Linked DNA regions of Sus scrofa. The protein of the gene in region 2 purifies or fractionates together with the protein of the main gene of each other region. This does not show direct contact. Links are inferred from orthologs where the notes say so. Each region holds a gene or a part of one and is shown on either strand. Other genes may lie near its edges.

What was found.
Region 1: the proteins of OBSL1 (region 2) and CAMKK2 purify together in Homo sapiens (affinity purification with mass spectrometry; 4 studies listed by BioGRID and IntAct, with this or other methods). This does not show direct contact. The link is inferred for Sus scrofa from reciprocal best matches to the Homo sapiens genes OBSL1 and CAMKK2.

The regions. Positions count from the first base shown.
Region 1 is NC_010456.5:31,348,745-31,352,552, reverse strand, and holds part of CAMKK2 (calcium/calmodulin-dependent protein kinase kinase 2), read right to left. Parts: intron 3,088-3,808; coding exon 3,066-3,087; intron 2,939-3,065; coding exon 2,850-2,938; intron 1,615-2,849; coding exon 1,415-1,614; intron 528-1,414; coding exon 474-527; intron 1-473. UniProt on the Homo sapiens protein: Calcium/calmodulin-dependent protein kinase belonging to a proposed calcium-triggered signaling cascade involved in a number of cellular processes. Isoform 1, isoform 2 and isoform 3 phosphorylate CAMK1 and CAMK4. Isoform 3 phosphorylates CAMK1D.
Region 2 is NC_010457.5:121,578,482-121,582,389, forward strand, and holds the start of OBSL1 (obscurin-like protein 1), read right to left. Parts: upstream 2,834-3,908; 5' UTR 2,551-2,833; coding exon 1,539-2,550; intron 1-1,538. Other genes in the region: INHA (inhibin alpha chain), read left to right, coding at 3,469-3,655. UniProt on the Homo sapiens protein: Core component of the 3M complex, a complex required to regulate microtubule dynamics and genome integrity. It is unclear how the 3M complex regulates microtubules, it could act by controlling the level of a microtubule stabilizer.

The DNA.
Region 1 (3,808 bases), on a different chromosome or scaffold from region 2:
AGAAGACAAAACAGCACTCCCTAAATCAATAATGCTAGATGGGCTTTAACTTCCATTCTAATTCTATTCCTCCAACAACAGCTTCTAGGAACACTGGGAGAAGAACATCAAAGCAAAACTGGGCTCAGGAGAAAAGAGTAGTTATTGATTAGGCATGCCTGTTTCTGGTTTAGGAGTGGGCAGAGGTAGCACATTTGCTTTTCTTGCCCTAAATTCATCAACTACTGAATTTATAAACTAGAGCCTCTGCCAATCCTTCTGTTTTAATCCTCTGTTCATTTTGTCAACAGATATGACTATCACATAGAGCTATGTGCATTTGGGAAGGCATAATTTTTCATATTCAGATCTAACTGTGGAAATAAAATGAAATAACTTTTAAGTGAATAAGCACTATCTAACTGCAGAGGTAACTATTAATCCAAGGGGGCCCATCCACAACCCCCAGGATACAAGATATCCCAGCCTGTTACCTGGCCAAACACAAAGCAGTACAGTGTCACACCCATGGCCCAAACATCCAATGCCTGCAAGAAAAAAAAGAGTTCTGTGTGAGGGGATGAGGAGCAGTAAAAGGTGTCTACAGCTTTTACTGCCCAGCATCCAATCCCCCAGCTCTCCTTTGGGGAACCACCTCTTCTTGACTGCTCAGAACAGGGGCATAGCTGTTCCTGCCCCTCAATCCCCAGCCTCTAGTTAGGCACATGACCCAGGCCTGGCCAATGAGAGCAACACTTCCCCTAGGCACAGTGATTGGCTCAAGGATGAGCATATGGCCCATGCTAGGCCAATCAGAGCCAACCCCAGGATTTTTGCTGGAGCTCTTCAGAAAGAAAAATGTTCTTTTTTTTTTTTTTTTTTGCTTGGGCCGCTCCCTCGGCATATGGAGGTTCCCAGGCTAGGGGTCTAATCGGAGCTGTAGCCACCGGCCTACGCCAGAGCCACAGCAACACGGGATCCAAGCCGTGTCTGCAACCTACACCACAGCTCACGGCAACGCCGGATCGTTAACCCACTGAGCAAGGGCAGGGACCGAACCCACAACCTCATGGTTCCTAGTCGGCCCACAATCTCATGGTTCCTAGTCAGATTCGTTAACCACTGCGCCATGACGGGAACTCCCAAACAATGCTCTTTCTACTGAGGCTGGTAAACTGATAGAAAGTAGCCTGGAGCTGCTGATGACCCATTCACCTGAGGAGGAATTCCAGAAAACAGAGCTGAGAGATGGCAAGATGGATTCCTATTTGAATCCCTGTGTCTAGCCAAGCCTGAAGCCAAACGCACCCCACTCCTCATCCATATGATCTGATGGATTCACTGTTTAAAGCCAGTGAGCTGGGTATTTGCCACTTAAAATGGAAAGGACCCTAACACAGGTAGAACTCTGCATCTCAGGCAGGTCCAAACCTACCTTCCCAGAGAAGATCTTCCGGGTCTCTGAGAGTGACTCGGGCGCCATGAAGGCGGGTGTGCCCACGGTGTTAGAGAGGAGGGCATCACTGCCCTTGAACTCGTTGCTCACACCAAAGTCCGCAATCTTGATGTGCCCATCTTCTCCCACCAGCAGGTTGGAAGGTTTGATGTCCCGGTGGATGATCTTCTGGTAGTGTACTGGGGGCAGCATCAACACAGGATGGGAGAGACAGGGGCCAGAAAAACAATGTGAGGAGCTCCACGTAGCCCACATGGCCCAGAGACACAGGCAGGAACCTCACTGTTCTCCTGAGGCCCCAGGCTCTTCCCAGCCTTCCCCTCCCAAACCTGCTGAACACTCTGTAAGACAAGAGGAGTGTCTCAAAAGAAGCTGTCTTGTTGTCTGAAGGAAGGGGTGAGACACGAGACTGCCCAGAGCAACTGGTAACCACCTGCTATAGTCTAAGTCACATGTGCATGAGAAAGTTGTTGTTCAGCTTGACTCCCAACTAGAAGTATCAAGACTTGTAATAATCAAACATATTTTCATTTATTAATGCCACTACTCAACCTGTTCACCAAACCAACAGTGACTAGAGCAGGTCAATTTGAGGTGCGAAGCACAGAACAGGACTGGAGACTTGGCTAACTGTTCCCCACTGTACGTCAGCCCATGGGAGAGGATGACCCTATGGTCTGGAAGACCCAACTGCGTTTCTGGGGTGGTAGTGGCAGTGGTGACAATGAAATGATGATGTTGGTAACAGAAGCCACAGCTGCCTTTGCTGAATGCGCAGTCAGGGGCCTCTCCCATTCACCTCATTCCAATCTCACAACAATCCTATGTAACAGGCAAAGAGTATGAGTCAAAATGTTTAACAACCGGAAGTAGAAAGTACACCTGCCAATCAGAACTACTGATGTCCGGGCTGACTTCAGCCCTGGTGAGAGATACTTCATGCTATCTAAAGTATCTCTTTTATTTTATTTATACTAAATAAAAATAAACTACATCCTCTCAGGAGTTCCCACTGTGGCTATCCATGAGGACGCAGGTTCAGTCCTTGACCTCGTACTTTACATACAAGGAATGAAGATTCCAGGAGGTCAGCAGGATCCCAGGGTTGCTGGGAATAAAGAATGATGCAAGTGAGAGTCCCTAACAGTGCCTGGTACACATAAGAAAGTGCTGGATGGATGGTCACTATCACTATTTCTCTTCATTATTCTGTGTGGCAGAAGGGTTTCTGCTCATAGTGTGGCCCCAGGAGAGCTATCTGCAACCTTCGGTGACTCTGCATCTCATACAATTCTGTTTCCTGCCCACATCCCTGGGCTCCAGGAGGGAAGTAGGAAACCCTCCACTTCCCATCCACCACCAGGGCATGCTCACCACCCCCCTGGGTGAGGGTCCTCCCGCAGGCCCTGCTTACAGTACTCGATGCCTTTAATCAGATCCTGGAAGTAGAATCGAGCCTGGTCTTCAGAGAGTGGTTTGAGGGTGGGCACTTCCATCACAGGCCTGAAAAGTCAACACATGCATGAAGTGCAAACCAGACGCGCGGGCCTTTGCCCTCTTGCACCACCTCATGCAGCTTAGCAGCTCAGAAGCTTCAGGCAGCCTACCTGCTGGGAATGGGGACACTCACCCTTGGTTGACCAGTTCAAACACTGTAGGATAGAGAAGGGAGTGAGTGGTTACATTGGGAAACTGGAAATCCATCTTCCTCCCCCTGCTCCCCAAGCCCCTCCTACCCCTAGAAACATCGAGAAGCACTGAATCTACTACTGGGGCTGGGGAGAGAAATAGCTCACTGAACCAGAGCTACTGAAGGTTCCGCTTTTCTAAATTCCCATCTGGTGGCTAGGGATCAGAGATTTCTGGTGTCACTGGGACTATACGAGGCTGGCTGTACTTCTAGTCCTCAAAACAGGGAAGGACCCCACGCCAGAGAACACAAAGCAGGGGAACCGGAGATAGTGGACTCTGGACTGCTCCTGGCTCCTTTCATCTTTCCTCTCCTACCTGAGGGCTCCAGAGAAATGACTGATGCTAAACTACATTCTCTCAGGAGCTCCCACTGTAGCTCAGCAGTAATGAACCCAGCTAATATCAATGAAGATGCGGGTTCAATCCTCAGCCTTGCTCAGTGGGTTAAGGATCCGGCGTTGCCATGAGTTGTGGTGTAGGTCGCAGACACAGCTCGGATCCTGCATTGCTATGGCTGTGGTGTAGGCCAGCACCAGCAGCTCTGACTGGACCCCTAGCCTGGGAACTCCCATATGCTTCAGGTATGGCCCTAAAAAAATAAAAATAAACTACATTCTCTCAGTCACACCCAGGTCCTGAGCCACTTTATGCCAAAGAACAGGTCTAAGGGGACACAACCTT
Region 2 (3,908 bases):
GCTGTGAGCTGCAGTGTAGGTTGCAGATGTGGCTTGGATCTGGTGTTGCTGTGGCTCTGGTGTAGGCCGGCAGCTGCAGCTCCAATTCAACCCCTAGTCTGGGAACTTCCATATGCTACAGGTACGGCCCCCAAAACAAACAAACAAACAAATCCAAACAAAGAAAAAGCATGACAATAGGAATGGCCAGTGGATTCAGGTGGGCTGCTGGGGGAGCATGACTGTCTTGCTGGGTGGCTCTGGAAGCTCTGCTTTCACCGTGGGCTATTTTCTGTCCAGGGGGTTAGTTTGTGCACACTGACTGTACCTGAGAGGCCACCACGGCAGCACAGGTGCTGCATGCCTGACTGTGTGCCAGGCAGGACCCAGGGGATGTGCCAACTTTTTTCCTCTGAGGGAAACCTTGGGTAATAGCTAGTGAAGGTATAATGTTGTGAGTTGGAGAGGTTTAACTTATGGAGAGCTTTAACTTTCACTGTGAGTGGGGAGAGGTTTTTTTTTTCCCCCTCCTGAATTTTCTATTTATGCGCAATGTAAGCATTAAATTAGACACTGATGGGGACTCAATTTTGAAATATAAATTTCCTCTCCTTCACTTTCCTTGTCTTGCAAAACTGGAGAGCAGTCTAATGAAAGAATAGTCAAAAACTGCAGGGCATTTTTTTTTTTTTCCTCCCTCAAGTTGTCCTTTGTTGTAAATCAGCAGTTTCTCAATGTGAGGCCTACAGCTAGGCCTTCCCCACAGGGCTCACAGACTAGACCTGGTTATGGACGTTAAACTGTATATTCAATAAAAAAGACCCCTTGTTCTCACAGGTTCGTTTTGTAAATACATGTTCTACATTTGGACTGAAAAATCTACACCTATAAAATGATCCTTTCAGAGATTACTTCCTGGCTCAGTGGAAACGAATCTGACTAGCATCCATGAGGATGCAGGTTCGATCCCTGACCTTGCTCAGTGGGTTAAGGATCTGGCCTTGCCCTGAGCTGTGGTATAGGTCGAAGACACCCCTCGGGTCTGATGTGGCTGTGGTTGTGGCATAGGTTGGCAGCTACAGCTCTGATTTGACTCCTAGCCTGGGAACCTCCATATGCCGCGGGTGTGGCCCTAAAAAGCAAAATAAAATAAACCGATCCTTTCATCTGCCTTAGATGGTGGGGCCCCAGATAGGATTTCCATTGGGGGATCGGTGAAAATAACAAAGAGGTTGAAAACCACTGGACTACAAGAGTTCTGGGCCCCTCTGGGTCTGTACATCTATCATTCCTTGAAGTCCTTTATTAAAGAGTGGTTTTCCACTTTCTGCTTCACAATCTTGGGGGGGGGGGCTGCTAAGATGTTCTCGGAGGACTTGGAGGCCAATTAGATCGGAATCCCTGGGGGCTGGGAGGTGGGTGGGAAATGGCATTTTAATATTCGACCTTCCTTAGCCCCGCCATCTTCTGGGCAGTGAGTGGGGTTGGAGTGGGGAGGGTCTGGGAGGACGCTGGAGGTCCCTCCCCAGGGCTCTGGCCGCCCGGGGGCGCCGCGGTACCTTTGACGTGCAGCTGCACAGCACTGAGCGTCTGGCCCGCCGAGTTGCGAGCGGCGCACACGTAGAGGCCGCGGTCCTTGGCCTGGCAGTAGAGCACCTTGAGCACGAAGCCGCCACCGCGGTCGCGGTACATGAGGCGACGGCGGTCGGGGAGCAGCGGGCGGCCCTCCCAGTGCCATTCGATCTCGGGCTCAGGCTTGCCCATCACGTAGCAGCGGAACTTGGCGTGCTTGCCCTCGTTTACCCAGAAGGTCTTGGGCGCACACTTGAGTGGCTCCACCACGGGCTTGGGGACCTCGTCGGGGTCCTCGGGCGGGCTCTCGGGGGGCTGGTGCACCTGCAGCAGCGCGCCGGCCCGCGCGTGGCCGTGCGCGTTGCGGGCGTGGCACACGTAGACGCCCGAGTCCGGCAGCCGCACCGCCAGGATGCGCAGCGCCAGGCTCGCTCCTGGGCGGCCCTCGGTGCGGCCCGGCTCGAGCGCGAAGTGGCTGCTGTCCCACACTTCGTCCAACGCCATCCCGTCTTTCTCCCAGTACAGCGTGGGCTCGGGGAGGCCCCCCACCTGGCATTCCAGCACCACCTCCGCCCCCCGCAGCACCCACTGGGACCGGGGCCCCGTCAGGAACACCGGGGCGCCCTCTCCGGCCCCGGGCGGCGGCAGCGGGCGCTCGGCGGGCTGGGGCTCGGGCTCGGGAGCCGGCGGCTCCAGCACGGTGACGGCAGCCGCTGCATAGGCCTCTCCAGCCGCGTTGCGGGCGCGGCACACGTAAACCCCCGCGTCGGTGGGCAGCGCGCCGCTCAGCAGCAGGCCGTGCTCGGCGCCGTCCGCCGGGAAGCTCAGGCGCTCCGAGGCCGCCAGGGGCTGCCCGCCCTTCTCCCACACGACAGTGGGCGGCGGCTCCCCCAGCACCACGCACTTGAGCTCGGCCTCCGCGCCGCTTAGCACCCGCACGGGCCGCGGGAAGCGCAGGAAGCACGGGGGGCTCCCCTGATCCCCCGAGCCCGCCTTCATCGCGGCCGCGGGAGCCCGGGAGGCGGGGCTCGCCTGGGACCGGGTGACGGGGCCCGCGGAACTCTCCCCTGGCCGCCCGCTCCCGGCTCGTCTCCTTACCCTCGGCCGGGAGCTGCGGCTCTGCGGTGGCGGCGATTCCCGGGCCGGGGACCCAGGGCTCAGGGGGCAGTCCTTCCTGTTTGCCTCTCCAGCGAGGGGCCCCGCAGCCTCCTTTGCCTGCGGCCTGGCTTCCTGCTCCGGAGAGCCAGTCTTCCCAGTCCCCTCCCACAGCCAGGGCCCCTTCCCCTCCTCCCTCCCACCTCCAGCCGCCAGGTCCCCAACCGCCCGCCAGGCTTGGGCCTGAGTGGCAGAGGCGCCTGCAGCTGCCAATCCCAAAAATATTCTCTGATGACACAGCTGGAGGACAAGAGCCCAGACAGGCTCCTCCAGGCTAAGTATAGAGCAGGGGGGACCACCTGCCCCCCACCCTACCCCCAGTTCTAGCTCATGCCCCAGCCCTTCCCCCCAGGACTGGCCCAGCAGCTGCTTGGTTGAAAGGAGACCCTGAAGGTCCGAGGGCCTGGCTTGTCCTGTCTTCCTGACAAATAACTTTGTTAGGAATTGGCAGACCCCAGCTTCCAGACTCCTGTCCCACCTGATGTCACCTCTGTGCTGGATGCTGGGTTGTAACTTTGTGTGTGTGTTGGGGGGGGGGGCAGGGAGTTGTGTGTGTGGGTCAGGTCACTCGGGGTGAAAAGCCTCACCCGCCCCCCCCACCCCCACATTCCTGGCGGGAGTGGGAGATAAGGCTCAGGGCCACAGACATCTGCGTCAGAGATAGGAGGTCTCAATGCCATGGGCAGGGGCAACTCGGACTGCAGGGCGTGGGAAGGGCTGGGAAGACTGGGGTGAGAAAGGTAGAAGAGGGCGGCTGGTGGGATGGGGAGGGGAGATTGGGGAGGCCCTGGGCAGACCCTGACAGAAGGGGCACAGGGCTGGGTGTGGGTTCACCGTTGGCAGGGCCAGGTGAGCTATGTGGCCTCAGCTGCTCCTCTTGCTGTTGGCCCCACGGAGTGGGCATGGCTGCCAGGGCCCGGAGCTGGACCGGGAGCTTGTCCTGGCCAAGGTGAGGGCTCTGTTCCTGGATGCCTTGGGACCCCCGGCAGTGACTGGGGAAGGTGGGGATCCTGGAGTCAGGCGTCTGCCCCGAAGACATGCTGTGGGGGGCTTCATGCGCAGGGGCTCTGAGCCCGAGGAGGAGGATGTCTCCCAGGCCATCCTTTTCCCGGCTACAGGTAATGAGGGTGGGGAACTGGCACCTTGACTTTGAGAAACAGTGTGGCATACCATGGGCTTGGGAGCCAGGCCTGTCTGGATTT